3 linked regions of the Rhinolophus ferrumequinum genome follow. The protein of the gene in region 2 purifies or fractionates together with the protein of the main gene of each other region. This does not show direct contact. Links are inferred from orthologs where the notes say so. Each region holds a gene or a part of one and is shown on either strand. Other genes may lie near its edges.

Evidence for each region.
Region 1: the proteins of USP25 (region 2) and KLHL9 purify together in Homo sapiens (affinity purification with mass spectrometry; 3 studies listed by BioGRID and IntAct, with this or other methods). This does not show direct contact. The link is inferred for Rhinolophus ferrumequinum from reciprocal best matches to the Homo sapiens genes USP25 and KLHL9.
Region 3: the proteins of USP25 (region 2) and KCTD10 purify together in Homo sapiens (affinity purification with mass spectrometry; 4 studies listed by BioGRID and IntAct, counting the BioPlex papers as one, with this or other methods). This does not show direct contact. The link is inferred for Rhinolophus ferrumequinum from reciprocal best matches to the Homo sapiens genes USP25 and KCTD10.

The regions. Positions count from the first base shown.
Region 1 is NC_046295.1:18,597,610-18,605,297, reverse strand, and holds KLHL9 (kelch-like protein 9), read right to left. Parts: upstream 3,490-7,688; 5' UTR 2,954-3,489; coding exon 1,100-2,953; 3' UTR 121-1,099; downstream 1-120.
Region 2 is NC_046285.1:10,681,705-10,690,032, reverse strand, and holds the start of USP25 (ubiquitin carboxyl-terminal hydrolase 25), read left to right. Parts: upstream 1-4,886; 5' UTR 4,887-5,047; coding exon 5,048-5,092; intron 5,093-8,328. UniProt on the Homo sapiens protein: Deubiquitinating enzyme that hydrolyzes ubiquitin moieties conjugated to substrates and thus, functions in various biological processes including inflammation and immune response.
Region 3 is NC_046308.1:14,112,255-14,120,189, forward strand, and holds the start of KCTD10 (BTB/POZ domain-containing adapter for CUL3-mediated RhoA degradation protein 3), read left to right. Parts: upstream 1-4,446; 5' UTR 4,447-4,544; coding exon 4,545-4,547; intron 4,548-7,935. UniProt on the Homo sapiens protein: Substrate-specific adapter of a BCR (BTB-CUL3-RBX1) E3 ubiquitin-protein ligase complex. The BCR(BACURD3) E3 ubiquitin ligase complex mediates the ubiquitination of target proteins, leading to their degradation by the proteasome.

The DNA of each region.
Region 1 (7,688 bases), on a different chromosome or scaffold from region 2:
GGAGCAGCACCAGAGCAACCACCGCAAATCAAATAATCTTGTTAGAATGACTTAAGTTGGGAGACTGAACTTAAAATCCTATAGCTCTGTTCAGCATATTTCTTTGCTTTTATAGTATCGTAAGTTTTACTGAACACAAAGGTAGAAAATAGCAGAGCCTAAATTTAGAGCAAAAGCCAAGTCTCTGAAACCTGAACTTTGCTAAATAATATGTATAAAAGCAACTCTACGGAAAATAATATACAGGCAGAAAAAGTCGTATGTTTCATCTGCAGTAACGATTTAGTCAAATGACAAACTTGGTTTGTCAATTTACTATGTAGTGCTTCTATCTCAATTCAGTATGACTATACAGACATTTATTCTCTGCTATTGAATTCCCATTTGAATAGAAATAGCTGCTAGATAAAAGAAAATAATTTAAATTTAGAAACAATTTCACTATGCCTGAAATTCCAATTTAAAAATTATATATGTGTATGTATGTATATACATATGTATGTGTGTGTGTGTGGGGAGAGAAGTCTCTCCTCCCTCTCTCTAGCGATACAGACTTAGGGCTATACTGTTTTTTCAAGTTAGTATTTTTAAATTTACTATTTCTCCTTTCTGCCTAAGAAATTTCACACATTCTGAGTGCACCAACACAATCTGGTGAGTTGGCAGCTATGTCAAAAACTATGAAAAAAGGGAGGTAGCTAATAATACTTGGCGACTTTTTGTTTAATATTTTAGGTTAGAGCTGGCAGCCTCCCTTTGATGTTTTGCAGTCAAAAGATGAAAACTATCAACTTTGAAGCATAATGAACATAATTATACATTTACTACAATCACCTACAATTTGACTTACACAACACCACAAAAGGACATCTAACCTTTTTTTTTCACAGATCTTTTTACATTTTTTAAAACAGCTGGCTGTGTTGAATACATTTTCAGAATGCATTTAACCATTTGATAAACATACTAAGTCAAACAATACAAATAACATCAGTTACCTTTTTAATCTAATAACTGTACTAATCATTGAAAGAAGATACAGCTGAGGGGGAATGATAAGATCGTCCATATGCACTGCAAAAACATTAAGACCTTAGTCCTAAGAATGATCTGAAGGTGCTGAAAGAGGTGATTCTCTAGAAGGTGACCCAGGGTTTTCTTCAGGTGGAAAAACTGTGAGAGTACAAGCTCGAATGCCACCAAGTGACTCTGGAAGGTCAAAAACTTTATGCCACTCATCCTTTTCTGGGTCATATTTCTGGACAATTTCTACCATACAACGATTATTCCAAGAATATCCACCTACAACATAGATTTTATTTTCAAAGACGGCAACTCCAACATCACTTTGACCCCTTAACATCGCAGCAATTGGTGTCCACTGGTCAAGGGTTGGTGAATAGTATTCACAGCTTAGTACATCATCATAATCACTTGTTCCTCTGAAGTGATTGCCACCAATGACATAGAGCTTGTCTCCAACTGTACACATGCAATGCAGACCTCTGACTGTAGTCATTGGAGCCTTCTGTGTCCATTTGTCTGTGTCTGGATCAAAACACATGAGCTCGTTTTGGAAAGTGTCATGAGTAATTCCTCCTGAAATATACATTAAGCCTCCATACACTGTTCCAGCATGGCCATAGTGGGGTTCACTCATTTTTGCAACATAGCTCCACTCATTCATTCTTGGGTTGTAACATTCTACTGTGGCCAGTTCACCAGCTGCACTTCGCCCACCAACAGCATACAGATGTCCTTTGAGGGCACTCAAGTGGAAGAACGTGCGCTTTTCATTTAATGAGGCAACCTGCATCCATTTATTATACCGTGGATCAAATCTGAAAACTGTATCAACAGCAGTTTTTCCTTTCGTATCATAATTACTTTGACCACCAACTACATAAAGAAAGTTTCCAATGACAGCAATGCCATGCTGGTAACGAGGAGCATCCATAGGGGCTAAAGATCTCCACTCTTGTGCCCTTTCATCATACATCCTTAATTCTTTACTGACAACCAGCTGCTGCCTCAGAACTCCTCCTAATGTAACCAAATGTGTTGAGTCCGATCGAATGGCAGTTCTATCTGACTGCATCACTGGCTGCATATATGGCATCATTTGGTAATTGCTAGCTTCCAAAAGCAAATTCACACAGGTATTGTCCGTTCTCATGAAATCCACTGTCTGCACATAATTGATGAGGTCCTGTGGTGTCATCAGTGGAAATCGAATATTCTTCATTAATTTTGCAGCATAATCCATTCGAGGGTCTTCCAACCTTAGCCAGCGACAGGCAGCCTTGAAGAGCTCAAGTTCCGTACAGTGCTTAAGACTATTACTGGAAAGCACAAAGGCAAGCCGTTCAAAAGGGAGTTTTAGAAACTCCCCAGTACTCAATAATGCAGGAAAATTCTTCAGGATAAAATTATTGACATATTTATCCACTTCTATAAGGTTATAAGTGTTAGCTATTCGCCCAACTTCAACACAGTTATCTAAAGAGACTCCTGAAATAAGAAACACTTTACAGAAGTCCAAAACAGGTAAAATTTGTAAAAAGCTGGCAGCTTCAAGTGTGTCCTGAAGATTGTCCATATTAAGAGAAAGTTTTGCAGTATAAATAAAATCAATTATTTTCTTCAGACCAACCTTGTTCACGCCATGAAGCTTAATGCACATTAAATCTTGTTCTTTCATTCCACCTGTAAACATAGCTTTGAAATAATCACTAGCAGACGCCATCATAGCTCTGTGAACAGGGAAAATTTCATCTCCATCACCTGGTACCAAAGTCACATCACAAAGCAATCCTTCTATTCTAAGCTGATCAAAGCCTTGCAATACCACCGAACTGTGCGTATTGCTGGTAAAAAATCGTGTGGTTCCTGCCTTGCAAGGCTGTAAATGGGCGGAAACGCCCATTTCGCCGTTACCAAGAGACACTTTCATGGGAAAGCCTCTTGCACAAAGATGCCAGAGAAAGAAGTTAAAACCGGAATGCTTTCAAGGAACCGAGGATGTCCAAAGCGCAGGAGATCCGCTTTCCTTGTCAAGGGCAAGCAGTCACCGTGGCACCCTTCTGAACACACCAATCAGTCATCCACTTAAAAGGGTTCTGCAGCAGGACCACAAAGGGCTGCGGACATCAAATCTGATTGTTATGCAGATGATTCATCATCTGAAGGCAGTTAATTGACCCGGTTCACCTTGTCTGGCCTGCGCTGCCGCTCCTCCAGCAGTTCCGCTCCAGGCCAAGGGGGAGGCACCGCCACGTACTGCGGCTCCGCGGCTCGCTCGCCGGCGAGGCCGGGCACCTCAGCGAGCAGCCTGCTGCGTCCTCCGCCGTCACTAGAGCTTCGTCGTGGCCCGGGCTTTCTTGGAGCAAGGGCCTGGAACACGGGTCTGGAACACGGGCCTTAGCCCCCGACGCCCAGCCGGTCCTTTCCGGAAAGGCCTAGTCCCAGGATCCCCCGGGCTAGGAGCGGCCGCAGCACTTACTGCGGCTGCGCGGCGGCGCGGCCGTCCAACTCGCCAGTGGGCGGGGGCGGGGGGAAGGGGGAGGAAGTGCGCTGGGGACTGGAAGGGTAGGGGGCGGGGGAGCGGAGCTGTGCCGGGTGGGCGCGAGCCGGCCCTCTTTGGGTCATATTCTAGGTGGGACTAAATAGGCCAGCACGTAGGTTATGCTGCACGTTTGGTATAAACTGCACAGCTTCTGAGCGCTCCACCCCCCACCCCCACCCCAGGCACACTTTTTGTTTAAGGTTTACACTTCCTGGCTTCTGCCCTTTGAATAACAATGAATTACGGCTTTTATATAAATTGAAGTAAAACATAGCAGAGGAGGGCGGGGGGAGGGGGGGAACGATGCTTACAAGTTTTCCTCTTTAAAAGACTTTTTCATTTATATCCCACACCATTTAATTGACACTTCAATTATAACTGTTTTCAATCATTTAAAACACATATCATCTGTCTCTTTAAATACCAAATTGTGACTGTGCTATGTAAATAATATAGCCTGTATTTTTGCCTTCCAGTGGAATTCCACCATCAGTAATTCTCCATGCTTTTGTTTTCCATTCAAATTTTTAAACGGCTACACAATTGTCCGATAACTATACATACCGGTGCTGTCCTTTCCTTTGCCCATTATTTGTTCCTGAATTCTTGTCCTCCATTGTTTTATAGAATCTGTAATTTACAGAATCTGGGCACAAAACTTTCCCATTTTGGGATAAATTCTAAGACATAAATATTTCTTTCCAAAACTCACAATAGATGTTTTGAATGTGCTTTTCCCTTCTATTTATCTTTCCTTTTATAGATATTTTATTAACTTGAATTTCTTTAATTACTAGTAAATTTAAATTTGTCATATGAATAAATGTATACTTTGACAAAATTCTTCCAACATTTTCCTCAGTTGGAAGTTACAACTGTCTTTTAAATTCTTCTAGTTTCTTTTATGCATATGCAAACTAATCAGAGTATAGCTATATTCTTTTTACACTCTCCCAATTTTTATGTAAAAGATACTTACATACCATACTCACTGTTCTGCACCTATCTTTTTTTCACTGGAAGATCTTCCCATATAATAGAGAACTTTTTTTTTTAAGTTTATTGGGGTGACAATTGAGAGAACTTTTTAATCTTTTTTAAGCAGTTCTATTTTTACCCACGAATAGGTGTGTCATAAATTATTTACTCATGGACAGTTAGCTGTTCCAGTTGTTTTCTGTTGTTTCTGAAGGATGGCAGCAAGATCCCAAAGGCTCAGACCACTGCTATCCTCCACCAGATGTCTCAGCAGATCTTCAATCTGTTCAGGATAAGAGGTTGGCTAGGATGAAACTGTACTGGATAAATTCTTTACTGGACTTTATCAGCATCGGGAAGTCCTAGAGACCTGCTCGATGTCTGAGTTGGGGATGGAAGCACTCTCCTGAGCTATAAAGACTCCATACTGGCCCTGAAGAGGTACTTCCAAGGAATCAGTCTCTGTGTGGAAGAGAAAACAGAGCTGCTGTACCTGGGAAGTTGTGAGAGGAAGAAATCATGCTATCTTTCTCTTTATTATCAAGCTTAACAAAAATGACTAAGAGCTAAGGAACCAGACCCATGCTCTTCACGAAACTATTATGGACAGATATAATTCATCATACTCCCAAATGTTTAGCTACTTCAAAAGACTGGTTTTTTTTTTCTGCCTGCATCATGAAATAAGTTGAATCAAATTTGTCACAACACTTATTGGTAGTGTTACTGAACCACCTCCCAAAATTCAGGTCCATGTCATTGATGTGCTAGTAAACAAACATTGAGACACTGGAGCTTGGAGATACAGAAAGGTTTATTCCATTTGTCCAAAGCAAGAGGATGAGAGAGCAAGATCTCTCAACTCTGTCTTCCTCAAAAAGCAAAAGTAGGGAGTTTTTATGTGGCTAGGGAGCAGAGGAGGGGGAATTTCATGGAACCAAGGGGAGAGTCTGTATTTCTTTAGTCATAGATAACATTTTGTGCAACCAGACTTCTGGGTGTCAGCAGCTGGTTGTAACTTTTATTCCTTCTGTAAAATAAACTCATAAATTCTTCTTGTGACCCTGGAGTTATCTCCTCTTGCTTGACAAAGAAACAGTACGTCAGCAACTTAAAATTATATTGTGAGAACGAGATGAGCTGGATTGAAGAACCAAGATTCTGCAAAAACATCTCATAATTGTGCATCAGTGACGTTCTCTTTAAAGCAAAAAGCAAAAATTGGACATCTTGTGACCATCACCATTGTTTAAGGTATCATTGTTTTGTGCTTAACTAGCTGTATTTTCTATAAAAGTGTACTTTTGAACATTTCTCCTGGAACTTGCTTTACAGGCAGGCCTTAATCTTTGACTATACGCTGTGTGACAACCAAAGCAATTGAAACATTTAGTTAAAGCCTATACCTATATCTTTAGAGTCTCTGATCTACCTAAACATGTTAATTGTTAACTGATGGTTTCAGTAGTATTAAGCCACTCTAAGTTAAAGCATCCAGTTCCTAGGGCGCCCATCCTAGGTGGCCTTTTTAATGTGCTTACTCGTATGTACTTAACTATCTATTTTACTATATTTATTGTATTTCAATATTTGCTTCCATATCATGTTCACCTGTACATTGTGCTAATTACATAAAAAGCATTCACCTTTATATTTTTTAATTATTCTCTTAATTATTTCAAGTTTTACTTTCAAATCTTTTTTGAAATTTTATTTTAGGTATTTTTTTAAGGAGGGTACAGCTCACAGTTGCCTATGCAGGGATCAAACCAGCAACCTTGGTGCTACCTGCACCACGCTCTAACCAACTGAGCCAACCGGCCACCCCTTCAAATCTTTTTAGGTATGTTTATTTTTAACCAATGCCAAGACTGATTTTGCAACCCCAGTTGAAGGATGGAGTTGAATTTCATTCATTCATTTCATTCAAGCTATATGTAACACTTGAATCTAAATCACAGGCTCTACACTCCCTTCACAGGATAAAAAGGTGAAGAAAGAAAACAAAGGGACAGCTGTCTTGGAATCATAGAATGTGTAAGCTTCAGTTGCTAAGGAAGAAAGAGGAAACAAAAAAATTATAAAGTACAGGTTTACTTTCTAGAATGACTGCCAAAGGCTTGGCATGACTCTCTGCCTTCACTGTGTGCCTCGGGAGCTCCTGAGTGTGTACAGGAGAGCAGAGGCTTAGCAGCTAGGACACCTCAGAGCAGAAGAGAGTTGATTGCAATGATACGTCTCACATTCTAACCCAGTTTCCCCAAGCCGTTAGTCTTGAGGTTCCCCACACTCTTTCGTTATAAAGTTAGCCAACAATTGACGCTTGGGCTCAACTTGCTTCTGAAACAGAAAAACAGTGTGGTGGGTAAAAGACGGCCACAGCTTCTTTAACACTCTTTCTACTCCTTTTAACCTGAGGGGCCCCTGTGACTACTTAGACCAATCTGTTTAGCTCAAAATGTATTCACAAATGATCTGATAAAGTCTTATAAAAAACTCTGGGAACTTGGGCTGGATTGAAGTTGATATCTTTATTTTGTAAATAGGAGCTTAGATACGACGGTCACACAGTAGGCATGTCTTCTCTCCGGTCAGGGCTCCTTCTCCTGCATCACTCGTTCCCTTTGCCCTTCTCTAGGATAATCACAGCAGGAGGGTGCTTACTCACCTAAGGTCTAAGGGTCAAGACTTCCCTCTAGCCGGCCCTAAAATGCCCACTATGGGGATAACTGCCTTGGGAGAGAAACACAAGTGAGTGCCGTGTCTCTAGAACGCCATTGTTATTCTTCCCTAGAAGGCCAAGAACCTGGAGTCTTTCCTCAGCAAATGAGTTTGTAAAATGAACTAATGATCCCCTTGGAAGGTCAGAGAGCCTTGAGGCCACAATAAAAGGGGAGATGTCAGGAGCTCACAGAGAAGCACCAGCTGCTTAGGCAGAACGGAAGCTGATGGCGTGGAGCCAGAAGGGGCTTTAGAGGGAAAATTTGGAATGGGGATCCCATGTTGTTTGGAGACATGCTTGCTGATTTAGGACTAGGTGTTGAGAGGCAGCTAGCGGTCTATAAGAAGGAAATAACTACCACGTGATAGTAAAAAACAAAACAAATAAAACCGGTTCCATTCACCTGAACCTGAGATTTTTTTG
Region 2 (8,328 bases):
TTTTGTACATAATTTGATATATGAAACTATTACAGAAATGTCAGTGGAACAGTCCCTTCTTAGCCTGTCAGATTTTGTAAACTGACCTACTTAACTCTGCTTCTTGTCCTAGACTCAGAATATTCAATCCCAGCTGACTAATTCTTCTTGGTGCTCATCTACTGGTTTTAACTTCTCAATTTATAGGTCTCAGTGAAGCCCTAATAATAATAATAGCAAGAACTTGCTCACATTTATTATGTACTTACTTTTTGCCTTATAGTGGTCTAAGTAGTTTACATTTACTTAATCATTTAATCATCAGAATAACCCTATATTATTATTCTCATTTTATAGATGGCAGAACTGACCCAGAGAACATGTATAACTTAAATTCATGTCAGAACAACAAAATACTCTCTAAATATTTAAATCAAGGCCTACTTAATTCGAAGAATGGGTTATACAGGTAACGGAAGACCTGAGAAGACAAACAAGGACAGTGAGTTAAACCAAGTTTAGCAACAGCAAGAACTCATTTTGACTCTTAAATTGGAGGGATGATGGAAGCAAGCAAAATTTCCACCAGGACCTTGAACCAGGGTAGGCCAGTCTGGTGAGAGCTAGAACCCCCAAAGACATATGGCCCAAGGAGATGCCACCCAAACGGAGAAGAAGGAGAAAGAGAAATAGCCTGGCTTTTTTTTTTCTCTCACGCCCTCTCCCTCCTTCCCCCAATACAATATCTACGTCTCTCATTGGCCAAATCCATTCTCAAACCAGCTGACCTGAGAGCATGGACTATGCAGGGATAGTTTTTTCTGTGATTCAGAGAAAAACAATAGAAATGCATGGAATTTACCTGATAGCAAACAGGCAAGGATTATCCAAAAGGCTTAAGTTGCTTAAGATCATAGAGCGAGCAGTCCCTGGGTTGTTCTTTGGGATTTGTATATGTGTAGCCATCATGGGCCCTGAATATGGAAGACAGAGGTCTTGGGAAGTGACATTAACTTATATAATTTTCTCTGTCCATATATGTCATAGGATAATTTCAGGGAAGTGTATGCCTACTACTGTAGAAGAGGAAGAAAGGTAAGAATGAGAAAGGGCCTGGGGACTAACCATTTTCATTGCCCGAGAATGCCTTTGGGCACGTTCAAGGTAAGGGAGCAAGTGATTCACACAAGAAATCACCACTTTTGTGCTGGCTCTCAGTTGATAAAGCGTAGCTGTTATCCAAGTAGGACCTTGCTTTTAAAGCAGAACTTGCAAATCAAAAAAAAATAGTTCACATTAAACTAGATTTCTATTTCAGAACTCTTTCCCCCAAAATTATTCTAATTGGAAATGTCAGTATTGGCAGAAAATGAAGAGGTCTATCTATCCTTTAAAGTGTTAATACAGCTCGTAGCAATATATGAGGTGATAGGATGGAGCAGGAAAAAGGATATTTAGTGGCACATAGGCATGAAGTGTAGGATTAAGTAAAGTAGATTAAATATGACTGTTTCGAGCTGAATTGTGCTCCCCCAAAATTCATGTTTTGAAGTCCCAACCCCTAGTACCTCAGTATATAACTGTATTTGGAGGTAAGGTCTTTAATAAGTTGGCTGAGTTAACATGAGGCTGTTAGAGTGGGGCCGTAAGCCAATATGACTGGTGTCCTTACAAAAACAGGAAGAGACACCAGGGGAGTATGCGCACAGAGGGTCAACCATGTATGAAGAGGCAGCCAGAGACTGTCATCTGCAAGCTGAGGAGAGAGGCTGCCAGAGGAACCAATCATGCTGGCACGTTTATCTTTGACTTCTAGCTCCAGAACTATGAGAAAATAAATTTCTGTTGTGTAAGCCATCCAGTCTGTGATATTTTGTGATGACTTCCCTAGCAAATTAAAAGGTAATATTTAAAGATTCTCAATGGGTAAGGCACCATTGGCTGCTGGAGATACTAAAATGATATGCTTTGTAATGTAAAACAACATGGCTTCCAGAACCACAAAGCTGTGCAATTGGAATGAGAAGTTCAAATTAGACATGCACTGCAAAAGCATCAATAAACTTGGTTTCTCTCCTTCATGGCTGCCCACTTCATTCAATAAGCATTTTATTGTGACTGTATCAGGCAGATAGCACTTTTACAGTTTTGAATCTATGAATGCCCTATCACTGAATGGTACCATTGTGACATCATAGAAAGCTCCTCTTTGAATAACGAGGTTTAATAATAATAATGCTTATGGTTTCCTAATTGGTGGTGGTGGGGGGGAGTTATCCCAGGATGTCAACATACTTACTTAAAGAAGGAAAATAATTCTTAACCTCCTTGAAATAGATTTAAGAACCACTCTTTTATCATGGAAATTGTTCAAATCTACACTACTAATTAAATGATTCTCTCTTATTCTTGTCTTACAAATGTGTTTTAGTAACATATGAAATTTTTGGTGTCCAGAAATGGATTTTCAAACCCTTTCTAAATAAAGAGAAATGAATAATCAAGATAGAAGAAAACCAATTTCCTTGGTTCACATACAAGTCACAATAGTGAATATTGTTGGAAACATCATTTTGATCCAAAATAGAAAAATAGACTTGTTAAAAACTAAATTTCACATTTTATAAGAACTCTATCACTTTATGTGTTTACCTGAATGTCAAATATCAGAGTAATGGAACAATTTAGGAATGATTAAATAGTATCCTGAGGCTATCTTACTCTAACAACTATATATACTAAGGCTGACTTCTGAACAGCACAACTGACACTGAGCAAATTTTGTAAATAAATTGGGATATCTGGCAAAGGGTCTTATGTGAGAATTTATCTCAAATTCTCAAATTTCCATCTTTTACTCATTCCAATTGTACTCTTTTTTAAAAAAGAACGCATATAAGGAAACTTGAAAATTTCTTATTAAAGTTCTACAAAATAACAATTAAGTTTAAAAAATATTAAATAGGAAACCATCAGAAGCAAGCTGGGAATCAATGCTCAAAGTTCGCAAGTATGACTACCCTCTAAAGAGCTTTTATTTGGGTATAAAAATGGGTATGATAATTTTTTGTGTGTGGAATTAAAACATTTAATTCAAAGAAAGATTTATTGCCAAATTCTTGAGACTAATCTTTAGTATCGGGCAATATCTTTTTAAACCACAGTACTAGATTTTATGTTAAATTTAACTTTCTTAAATTCAAATGTCATGAACCAGATAGATTTAAAACAAAATCTATAATACAGAGAAACATGAAGATATGTCGGAAAGAACTTTGGTCTATAAATGAGGAAAATGGGTTCTAGTATGCCTTCTTTGACAAGTCACCTCTTAGGGTCTCAGTGTTCTGATAAAAAATTTCTGCATTCTATCAGGACTGTTGCATTATTCCTAAAATCCTGGGTTTCCAACCATCTCACTACTTTTCAAATTCTTCTGGCAAACACACAGGATATCAATAAAATAAAGTTTGTAATTTGTCAAAATCAAATGAGCAAAATATGTGAAGACTCGAGGGAAAGATCTCAAAAGGTGGTTAAAGACATCTAAGGTACAAAGTCAGTTGTAAAGTGAACAGATTTGTTACAAAGACTTAAGAAGTACTTGATTCAGGATTATTAAATAAAACTAGATAATATTTCAATGATCATTTACCAAGTTTGTTTTTCTTGTCAACAGATTAAAAACCGGATTTGCATGTGTGTATTGTGTTTGGGACAATATGCACTGATCATTCCGCCCCTCCTACCGCAGCACCCTCACCTCCAATCCCCAGGTTAACTCCTGAACGTCAAGATATTTTTGAGGGTAGAGATTGCTGTCTCAATGTTCGGTTTCCCTTATAATTCCATATATAGTCAAGTATTCCATGCTGGGTGGTTAATTGATAGTTTGGCAACTGGAATACTAAAATTATGCACCATGTAGGCAGTGATACTTCTGTAATGTCTGTTGTATAGACCGTAATTCATTTACATCAAATCTTGGAGAAGTAAACCTTATTTCTCCAGATCCTGGCAGTGACTGGCACATGTACGAATGAATGAAGTAGACCGAGAATGCCAATAATCATTTATGTACTGATTACTTAAGGAGAAAAGTGCATTCCAGCCTAAGGACTTCTGACAGCCCTACGCTTAAATCACTCTTTTCCCTTAGGGCAAGTTTATTGCTTGTGAAATTCCTAGAAATGAGAGGGCAGAGGACCGCAGACGTAGAAAGGAGCCGGGGTTCGGGACCCAAGCGGTTTGGGGACGTTACGGGGCCTAGACAGAAATGTTTTGTCTTGGCGGAGTTGGGAAAGCCGGCGACCGGACAAGTCCAGGGCGCAAGCAGGAACGCAGCCCTCCGCTCTCGGCGTGGAGTTTAGCGGAGCCAAGTTCTGACGTCGCGTAACCTGCCGCAGGGGCGGCTCCAAGGCCCAGCTCGCCAGGCGCGCCCTCGCCCCACCCGGGGGCGCCGGGCCCGCGCCAGGCGGGGCGGGGCCGGGACTGGGGGGCGGGACCCCGGGGCGCTCCGCCCCGCCCCGCCGCCCCGCGGGTCACAATGTAGGGTTAGGGCGGCCGGCGGGCGGGGCTCGGCGGGGGAGGAGCCGCCGGGCGGGGGCGGTGACGGCGGCTGGGGGAGGGGAGGGAGGAGGATAGCGCCATTCTGGCCGGCCGCTCCCTCCGTTCCCTGTGCCTTCCCCGCAGTGGCCCGTGAGCGCCCGCGAAGGAACGCGCGCGCGCGTGACGCGGCCCGCCTCGCTCGCGCCCTCCCGCGCCCCAGCGTCCGCCGACCGCCCATGGCCGGGGCCGCGGCGGAGCAGCCGCGCTGAGGCGGCCGCACGGAGCTGTGGGCTCGCCGCCGTGGCCCTCGCCGTCCGCGCCGCGCCGCCAGCCCGCGGTCCCCGCGCACGCCTGCCGCCATCGCCTTCGCGCCTGCCTGGCCGGGGCGCTGTCCTCCCCGGCCGTCCGCGCCGCTGCCTGGAGCTCGGCGCAGCGTGGCAGCCAGGGCCGGCGGAGGCGCGAGGAGCCGGACGCCGCCGCCTGTGTCGCCGCCTGTGTCGCCGCCGGTGCCGCGGGGGCCATGACCGTGGAGCAGAATGTGCTGCAGCAGAGCGCGGCGCAGAAGGTGAGGCGAGCCCGCGAGCCGGCGTAGCCCGGCCGCTCTCCTCATTCCGACGTGCTGTCCGCACCCGCCGGGACCCCGAGCTCCCCGGCCTCCCCGCCCGCGCTCGGGCCTCCGCGGCCCGGGCTGCCTCCCCCGCCACCCGCCGCCTCTGCCGGTGGTCTTCGGGGGTGTCGCGCCCAGTGCCGGGCTGCGTGTGGGAAGCGGGAAGTAGTTAGCGGGTTTCAATCCACTTCCTTTTGCTGATTGTTTTCCTGCAACCAACGGAGCCTGGTATTTATTGGGAGCGACTCTCACATTCCTACACTGCTTTATATGGCTTCTTAATTAAACTTTATTAAAACAAGAAGAGGAATAGCCAGTTGTCATCCGTTCTGAACACAGTTTGTATTTCGAAGGCAGGGACATTCCAGGCCTGCTAGTTTGCAAAAGGGTCTCCTCCAGAATTGAATTGCTTGCCTGGCAGGGCAGGTACGTTTACCAGGTGGACTCTATGTACAAGTAGAGGATTTGGTTGGTTCCTTTTCCTCTTTCGGTTTCTTTTTCTTTTTTTTCTGAAACTGCCCCTTAAGAAAGGAAACCTTCCTGGCCATGTTTGTTCCAGGAATCTTTTGTCCCCTAAGTTTGACCTTGTTCCATCGTTCACCCTTGATTCTTGCCTCAGTCACACATTCAAATGGTCACTCAAGTTTCAAAAAAAAAAAATCTGTTTGTGAAGCTTGAGATCGTTCGTTGTGAGTAGTGAGAGGTGCTCCTTTTATTCTAGATTTTGCTTTCAGAATCTCCAGTGCACTATCATGGCTTGAACTATGTTCTGAAGAGTAGTTGTTGGCTATGACTTATTGTGTGTGTGTGTGTGTGTGTGTGTGTGTGTGTATGTGAGAGAGAGAGAGAGAGAGAGAGAGAGAGAGAGAGAGAGAGAGAGAGAGAGAGAGAGAGAGAGAGAGAGAGAGAAGCATTTGGACAAAAAGAAAACAGTGCTTTAATCGTGTTAGAATTATGGAGATAACTGGTTTACTGTCAACGGCTGCCAAAGACGTGTTTGGCTTATCTGAGCGAGGGATAGTGCCCCGCCCTGTTACAGGTTTGACGTGGTTATATCCTACCTGTGCTTGGTTATAGAATAGGGCCTCCTGCCCTAAAATGGGCTATGCATTTATTTACAGCCTGCTAAGTTTTTGCTTTGAAATTATTTTTAGAATTTTATGATGGTACACGAGGTAATTGAAGATGCTCAAGAATTTTGGAAAGCAAGGATAGTGCATTGTTATTTTAGGCACTTTGAGAAAGTTGTCTTGGAACTTGTGTATTGGTTAACTGTTACTGGTAAATTTAGAAGATTATTGCACACTGCAAATTATTTGCAGAGTGAAATAATTTCTAGATTTAATAATAGGACAACAGTTCATCTCCTAAATCCCCTCTATTCTATTCTGAATATCTAAAACTTTAGTTTTTGATGTTTGAGTATATAATAAAGTGTTAATACTTAGAACAGGATCTTGGGATCATATGTATACTAAGTAATGTTTAATAGGTTTGTTATTTTTATTTATAGTTCTTTTCAGTGTCAAATATTAAAGTCTATTTCAAAGTGGAAAATGTAGCTAATTCTCACGTCTCTTAAATTTGAACAATGGCAAGAAATTTGTGAGTTTTTTATTAATAAAATTGATTTTGACTTAAAGTATTTCTTTAGTATAGAACCAAATACAGATCTGCATGCTTCAGAGTTTTGTGCATAAAATTGTAAGATCAGGAATCAAATTACTGAAATTACTTGATCTTGGTCATCAAGTCCAATTTCATAGTTTAATGGACCCTCTCCTTACATAAAGACAATAGTTGTTAAATTTAAAGTATTATCATTATGATGCTATTTTTAGAGTGTGTATGTCAGATCATTTCATTGATATTGGGGAATTGTTTTAGAGCATTATAATTTATTATACTTCTGTCATGGTATTTATGTGTTTTTTAAAAGAAACAATGTGTTTGTTTGCTTCCTGTATTTATGTACTATTACTTTGTTACTCAGATTAGAACTATTTTAAAAATATTTATATGGGTATAAATACTTTATACTGTCTACTTCAAATAAATTGATAGATTTAAATCCACCAAGCTAGTAACTAGGAAGTGGACTTCAAGCTAGTAACTAGGAAGTAAACTTCATACTTTACAAGAAACAAAAGTGAAACTCTTTGTTTTTATTTCTAAACTTGATGAATTACCAGTAAAGTGAGAGTTGTCTAGTGCGTATTGCACAACCAAAATTTTAGTCTATTTTCTGCTCTCCTTAAAAAAATGGTGTGTGTGTGTGTGTGTGTGTGCGCGCGCGCGTGCACATGTATAACATTAGTTTTATGTAAATAGCTGTATCTGGTGGTTGGAACAGTTTCCTGTACTTTCAATATTCTTTTTTTGTTTTCTTCCAGAAAGATGTGTGATTAGTGATAATTTTTTTTAAAGCAGCACAACACAAGACTTTCATGGGTCTTTTGTTTACCTACAAAGTAGCTTGTTACAGTATAAGTCAAAGGGCTTCCTTTTTCTCTGATGTGTTCTTTGCTTGATTGCTGAAGTTTGGCCATGCCAGTTAAGAAATGTAGGAAAACTGCAGAGCTGCTTTTCTGAGGTTTGGATAATGCAAATGAGGGGAGTTGGAGGCAGATTATGTACAGTTAAAGCTTGTCATAGTTTGATCTTGAATATGTATCTTCAGCTTTTGTGCTTTATAGTTTTCCTAAGTGTAGGATCCTTGGATCTTAGAAATTTGATACATAGACTCCGATCCCAAGTGAGGATTCTTTAGGACAGCAATGGAAGGCTTCTACCTAGGGACCTAGACACTGTTTTATAGAATGAAGTGAACTGGATACTATTTACATTAAATGCATCCTTCTGAGTTGAGTAAAATGTAACGTTCATTAAGAGCAAGTATTTTGCCTCTTTTGTTTCACCCTTTGGCTTAGAACAGTTCCTTGCACATAGTAGGCTTCAGTAAGTATTTGATGAAGGAAATGAGTGAATGTTTTCTAAAATGAACGCAAGTGCAGTAGTTATTTTAGTTCCCTAGCTCAATCCCAAGATTTAACATTATTGAGAGACAATGAAAGCTCAAAATTAGAGAATTATTGGAATTTTAGAAATGGCTGATTTTTAGTTTTGATGCACTGTTCAGAGAATATGATTTGTAATAGTTTTAGAAATTTATTAAGATTTTCTTATGACTAAGT
Region 3 (7,935 bases), on a different chromosome or scaffold from region 2:
TCTGAGATTTCTTCAGATGCTTGATACCTTTGTCCTTCTAGCCAAAATACATAGGCAGCCTAGCTGACAAAAGCACTGAAATGAATTATTCATCCATCCAGACTCCTGGAAAACAATCTCTTCACTAGGTTACTTCACTCAAAGCAGCACCCATATGGAAACATTACGAAGAAGAAAAAAGGCTCATGCGGGGCTCTTCCCATTTTGACAAATTGAGGGATCTCTGTGGCCCCTTTTCAACACTGCTTCATATCTACCAAACACAAGGCTTTTTCCATCAAGTGGGCCTCTCATCAAGAATTCTCGAAACAAATTATCAAAGTCCACCTGACAACAGGAGGGAGGGAAAGATGACTGAAGGGGAAAAGGTAGCAGTCTTCTGAATCATTCACTCTTTCTGCCCCAGCAGAAGTCCAGAGAGCTCACCTGAGGACCTGCCTATGTCGCAGAAATGCCAGGTAATCATTAATGATCTTGCACAGGACTCATGGCCAAGGGCAGCTTCTCGCTTCAGAGGAGCTTGTCTTTTCTGGCAAAAGCAGAAGGAAAAAAAAATCCAGATTTAGGGTTAAGTTTTATAGGTAGGACATCATGTATCTTCCTGGGTAAAAGCAATAAATACAGTGTCTCTGGCTTTAAAAAGACAGCACTGTGTCTCTTTAGTTACTGTTTGGTCTAAACGATAGACTTGATCTCCCCAGCCCACACGGTTTAAAGGGAATAGGTTGAAAATACAGGGGACCCTTGAACAACACAGGTTTGATCTCTGTGGGTCCACTTATACACAAATTTTTTTCAATGAATACTGTAAATGTATCTTCTCTTCTTTACGATTTTCTTAACATTTTCTTTTCTCTAGCTTACTTTATTGTAAGATCGCAGTATATTATGTGTAACATACAAAATGTGTGTAAATCGTTTACGTTTACACACATTACACACAGTAAAGCCTCCAGTCAACAGTAGGCTATTAGTAGTTAAGTTTTTGGGGAATCAAAAGTTGTATGTGGATTTTCAACTGCACAATGGGGGTGGTGGCCCTAACCCCCGCACTGTTCAAGGGTCAACTGTAATCCCAAAGATGTTACTGAATGAAAGTTTTACATGCTTTGTGATGGTAAGCAAGAATAACAGACAAGGTGAAACGTTAAAAAGCCACTGAAAATAATGTTTGACATTTTTAACAATACGGAAAAATGTTTACACCCAAGAAAGGAAAAAAGGGCTGGCTGTGAACCAATATGATCCCGATTACATAACGAAAATGAAAAATGCATATGCACACATAGGTACAAAACTGCAAAAAAAAAATACACCAACATGTTAAGTAAGAGCAGTTGTTTTGAGAGAGTGGAATTGTGGGAAAGTTTGTTTCTCTAACTGGTGGTCTCAGTGGACCACGCGAGGATGGAACCGGCTACCTTGCTGTTATTAGCACCACACTCTAATCAATGAGCAACCAGCCGCCCGTCTAACTGGTGGTCTCTAGCTTCTAAGCTTTTCACAGAAAGCACCCGGAGAGGCAACGTGGTACTTAGAGGCACTTGTGCTCTGGAGCCAGTACCTAGCTCTGCCACGTACTGGAGGCTCTCCGAGCCTTTCTGTCTTCTTGTTAATTGGCTCAGAGGATGGTTATGAGGACTAAATGAGATAATGTGCATCAAGTACCTACTGCGGTGGCTGACAGAGCACACAGTCAGTAAGTCTGAGGTGTTATTTTTCTAGACACAAGGATTTTGTTTTTAAAGTCTTTGGCAGAGGCTCCTATCCGTACAGCCACTAAGGTTCTTTAGGTAGGAAAAAATGCGGGGACCCTTATAGTCCTTACCCATTAGCTTTTTCCCCCTATCCCTAAATACACTAAGATTCATCAGTCCTGTGACTTGGGCTATGAACCCCTGGCTCTCTTCAGATTGGATAATAGCTTCAAGCTCCTGCGAACTGCAAAAGAGCAGGGCCCCAAGCCATGTACCCAATGCTATGCTCTTTCTTTAACATGTAGATGGTCCCTCATTTATAGGGATGGAGAAGAGGGAGCCTATTCTCAGTGGAAAAATAAGAGGCTGCACGTAAACGGTGACTAAGTACCTGTAAGAATTAGACTATAGTGAGTACTCAGTTAACAGTCTATAGGTTCTTGGAACTGGGGCAAAATGACATATAAGGAAACCAGTTTTACCACAGGCTAATTGAGTTAAGTTCCTACGGCATCTCATCAATGTTATAATGAAATGATTTTGAACAAAGTGTTATTCAAGAACCTGCTGTATCTCAAAACGTTCACTTCTCCCAGGTGGCCTCTCAGGATAAGATCCTTCCTTGAGATTACCTTCCCCTCAGAGACGCTATACGTTGGCTTCTGTTTACACTATATGATAGTCTATACTATGCAGTTTTTTCTAACTCTTTCTTATTCACAGTCTCTACCTGTATTGTGTTTACCACAATCCATCAATAAAACAAAACATATCGTGAAGTATTTACTAAGTGCTTACTCTGCTAAATGCTATGGAGAATCAAAAAAAAAAAAAAGGCTGTATGTAACAGACACAACCTTGGATCAGACAACGTAGTCCTTGGTTCTTTTTAGTTCTGATTCTACCTCATTTGACCAAGTTACTTATCCTCTCTAGACCTCAGTTTCCTTATCTGTAATGTACCTACCTCCTAGGAATGCTAAAAGGATCACATGAAACATTTGCTCTTCTTCTACCTCAATTTAGTCCTCATGGCATAATTTGCATTAAGTGGGAAAATCCTAATAAGGAGGATCTGAAAGCAGAAAGCACATAAGTGAGCTTTACTGTATTGTCCTTAAAAAGCTTACAATCATTAGGGAAACAACAGTGACATACGTGGGAAGATCAGGAAACAAGGAATCCGTGATAACTATGATCATATGAAAAGCCAAAGGAAAACATGTTGTTTGAGTACCCACTATGGGCCAGGTCCTTTCTAAATGATCTCCTCTAATAAGAACAGCAACCCTGTGAGATCATTTAGTATCTCCCACAGCCCAGGTTAGACCGTTAGCAAGCGTCAGAGGAGAGGGTTTTTCATACGAAGAGACAGGGCTCAGACTCTCCTCTACTTCTACATTCACGTGAGACCTGCTCAAAATCAGTCTTTTCTGGAGAAGGCCAACTCCACAGAGAACTATGAAAGAGCAAGAGAATCCAAAACGTATCGTTCAAAGGTGAAGTACCATAAATACCAACTGAGCCCCAAAGGATTCTCCCTATATGGGGGAACAGCTGGCAGCTAGGTTTCATGACCACCACCCTCTAGGAGCGTGCTATTATCAACCCCAACTTCCGAGGGAGAAAAAGAGATGTAGAGAAGGGACATGACTTGTCAGAGGTCGCTAGGCTCCAGAATTTGAACTCAGTTCTAATTCCAAAGCTATTATTTATTTGTAAGTGAAACACACAAGACCCAGAGACTCCCTCACTCACAAACAGCAAAGAAAAGCTGCGAATGCAAGGCTGCCATGGGGCTAAGTTACTCAAATTATAAAAAAAGCTTTTCTTCATTTGTATGATTAACACCAGAGGCCTTTACTGAGCTGGGTGTCAAGCACGGTACTACAACTTGGCATTATACAACACACTCTGTGAACCGAGCTAATTACTCCACTTTACAGAGGAGGAAACTGAGGCTCTGAGAGGTGAGGGAGCTCATCCGCGGTCACAAAGCCAGAACACAGGATTCCAATTCCGGTTTCGGTGATTCCTAAGACCCCGCCTCTTTCCTCGGCATCAACAATAACAAATCTTTTCCACCCAGCGTTAGTCTGTTTATAAAGGCCCCGAGATGAAAAGAGATAGAAAAGGCTACGAAGAGACACCCATCCCCCCCCACCCCTCCCCGAAACGCGAAAGCCAGACGCTACTGAAGCAGCCCCTCCGACCAGGTGAAGCAGCGACCCGGCCCCAAGGCCACCTCCCTTAAAGTCCCCGGCCCCACCATTCGGTGAACCCACGACCCTGTTCCCACTCGCTACCCGCAGGCCGTAGACCTTTATCCGCTCGAGGCCCCCGCGCTCGGGGTCGGAGCCGCAGCTATTGTCGTCTCAGCCCAATACCTCTGAGCTCTGCCAGACCCGGGGCAGCGACAGAGACCCGACCGCCATCTTGCCCCGGGGTGTTCGTTCTCAGAGCTCCGCCGGGAAGCAACTATCCAGTTCCGGGCACTGATAGTTCCCCAGAGCTTCTCCAACCGGGAACGACAATATCCCTGTAGCTTGTCGTCCTCTCTGGAAGCTGAAAAAGCGGGGCATTCAGGAGCGGGATACACGCCTGCTCCAGCAGAGAGGAGATGCAACCCACTCCAGCCAAGCAGGTGGGAAGGAATGCGCCGACCTCAAGCACTACAACGGATCTTTTAGGAAGGCGCCCTCTGCGGGGCGGAAGTGGGGTAGGGACAGAGGAAGTTCCTGCCCCGGCCCCGCCCCCGCGCCCCCCCCAACCACTGGCTCACGCTAGCTGGGTGTTTCCTGCCTCCGTCAGTCCGGGTTTGGAGGCTCCAGCGTTCTCCGACTTTTCATGGTAAGGAGGGCGGTGCCCACCGATGGGGGCTCTGGGCGGCGGAGAGAGCGGGGCAGAGGCAGAGTAGAGGGGGAAGGGACCGATCGGAGAGGGTGCGATGGGGGCTGTCGCGATAGACGATAGGCGGTTGGGGGATTGGATGGGGGCGAGGCCGGGGGTGGGGGTAGGGCTTTGGGTGGAGAATTGCGGGGTCCCTGGTTGTTGGGCACAGAGGCAAAGGCATTTGGGTTTGGGGAGTAGATATGTGTGTGGTGGGAGGGGGGTGTCCCTGAGTCTTGAGTGCTTGTTGGAAATGGGAATTGGTAATTGTAAAGAGAACAAAGAGATGTCACTGAAGACGGACATTTGGGGTGGAAAATGAGATTTGGGGGAGTTGTGAAGGAGAATAGGTAGGTTATGAGAGAGCGAAGTGGGATTCCTTGGGATGGAAAGTTTGGGAAGTTGTTGCAGAAGTCGCTGGATTTCGGGGAAATGGCGAAGGGGGCCTCCCAGGTGCGTCTGAACACACAGGCGAGTGGAGGGAAAATAGAGGGAGTGGGCAGGCGGGTGTGCTTGGCGTGCTTGGAACTCCCCGAAGGGATGCCAGAGGCCTGAGTTCAGGCACTTGCGCCACGGAGTCCAGCGTCTTAACTGGCGCCTTGGTACCTACCTATATGGTCACTTCCGTTGAGGCTGGAGGTGGCCACACCTAAGGAGCTGGGGATGGCTCACATGCAGTCTCCTAGCTGTGGGAAGTTAATGTGTGCTTGGGAGCCTTCATGGGTCTGTTTCTTGAACTTTGTCCGGGGGTGGGAATGAGCAAAGTTCAGCCCAGACCCTCTTTTTTTACTAGTTTGCCCATGTCTCTTCCCCGGAAAGTGCAATCTTTAAGGAAGATCAGTCCCAAAGACACTATTGAAAAAAAATGAGTCAGCCAGTGTCTGACTTCGGTCTGCTCCATTTTGTGTAAAATCAGGACCACCAGTGGCTCTCAGATTATGGTCCCCAGACCTTATAAGAAATGGCCAAATTCTCAACCCCTACCATAGACTACGGAATCAGTCTGGGGTGGGGCCCAGCAATCTGTTTTAACAAGCCCTGCAGGGGATTAGAGCAATGATTTCTTGATTTTGTCTATGTGATGAAAAGGGCATGAGCTTGGGAGTCAGAGTACCCTAATAGTTCTGATTCTTAATTTTCTCCCCTAAAAAGTGGGATAGGTGACAACAGTTTCCTCACTAGACCATTGAGAGAAATAGGTCAATCGTGTGCTAAACACAGGAAGAGAATATAATTTGGTAGAACACTTGGATATAGCAGTACTAGTCCTATAGGTTTTGGATGCAAAATCATGCTACACTTATGTGGATAATTGAATTTAGTTTGATTGAAATGGAATGACAGACTTTTTTATAATTAGCCACAAGGCAGTGACTGTTAGATCTAACTGGTTAAAGAAACAGCTTTGTGGCTTTCAGCTCTGGTCACACATTAGAATCACCTGAAGAACTTTTCAAATAGTAGTTTCTGAGCTGCCACAACCTTCTCTCCCCCTCCCCAAATTTGATTAGTTGTTCTGGGGTGAAGCCCAGGCATTAGTACTTTTTAGACATGCTCAAGAGATTCTAGTACAGCCAAGGCTGGAGAATCTTGGTCTTAAGAAAAGCTTGAGGAGCAGAAGGTAACCTACACTAAGAACCAGGTGCCAAGTACTTTAACATTCATTCCCTGGGGGTTATTATGAAGATCATGACTTTACCTTCGTTTTACAAGTTAGGAAACTGAGACTGGGTTAAATCACTAGTGTGAACATCACACAGGAAGTAGTGGAACTGAACTGCAGTCCAGGTTTGCCAAACTCAATCTAACATTCCACACACATATTTCCCCCACTTACACACACAAGGGAGACCGTTCCACAGAGTTGTATAGAAAACATCTAGGGGTGAGGGATTTGGTACCTTTCTTCTTATTGTACTTGCCTACGTCTCCTTTCAAGTCAACAGTTTTCCCCCATCGGCTGACTTTTATTTTTTAAGCGTATATATAGTTGCTTCCTGTCTGTGGTTTGGAAGCTGTGAAGTAGAGAGGCTTGCTTTTGTTTGTGATGCTGTGGTTTGTTTTTCATGTATGGTCCGGAATCCACTGCGCCAATAGAGCAAGAGGTGAGGGAGCGTCTCCAAGACCATGAAGTTAATTCCATGTTTCCCCGAAGATAAGACCGAGCCGGACAATCAGCTTTAATGCGTCTTTTGGAGCAAAAATTAATATAAGACCCGGTCTTATTTTGCTATAACATAAGACCGGGTATAATATAATGTAATGTAACATAATATAATGTAACATAATACCGGCTATAATGTAATGTAATATAATATAGGACTGGGTCTTATATTAATTTTTGCTCCAAAAGACGTATTAGAGCTGATTGTCTGGCTAGGTCTTATTTTGGGGGAAACACGGTCGTAGCCTAATTAAAGCATCCAGAACTCTTTAGAACAGTGGGTTGCAATTCTGGCTGCACGTTGGAATTACTTGGAGGAATTTTTAAAATTCTGTTGCCCGTGCCACTCCCCCAGACCAGTTATATGAAAAAGTTCGTGGCTAGGAGAACCCCAGGCCTCAGTATTATTGTAAGCTCTCGGGGGAATTTGATGTGCGACCAAGTGGAGGGCCACTGTTTAGAATCAGCAACAGTATACTGAGGGGAGCTGGAAAAGAGAGCTGCCTTGCTCATGCATCTGGAATAAACCTCTTTTCTGATGGAACGGACTCGGTAAGCGATACCTCCAGTATTAATTACCTCACTGTTTCTCGTCACCAGTTTCGCGCTCTCCTACCTCCCCTCCCCAGCCTCATGAAAAATTAAATCAAACCTTTGAAACAAGCTGAAAAGCAGGATCCCTGTAGCAATGGGGGCGGGGGGCATCCTCTGTAGAGAGGTTTGTTGTGAGAGGCTTATTGTCTTCTGCTTTGTGTCCTCAGCTCACTGTCACTCGGGCTCCGGGACATGAACACAGCCAGAACCTTTTTTTCAAGGGCCTCTTAGTATTAATATGACTGGCCTTTGGAGGAGTGGGCTCCGGAGAGGATCAGAGCTTTCTTTGTCTCTTCTGGAGCCTCTAGCTAGATCAGGATGGTTTCTGCCTTTACCTCTTAGTCATGCAGTCAGAAGTCAAGGGAGCTGGAACCAGTCTCCAAAGAGAAGATAATTTGAGACTTTGAGCGCGTTCTCAACTAGTCATCATTTGAGTGTTTCATGTTTGAGTGTTTGCTCTGAGCCAGGGGCTGTGCTCAGTGCTCTGTGGCCTCCCTGGGGGGTGGGGGGAGACACCACCATTGTCCCCATTTGATAGACTGGACTGGACTTAGACAGATGACTCACCCAGGCTCCCACGGCTGATAAATG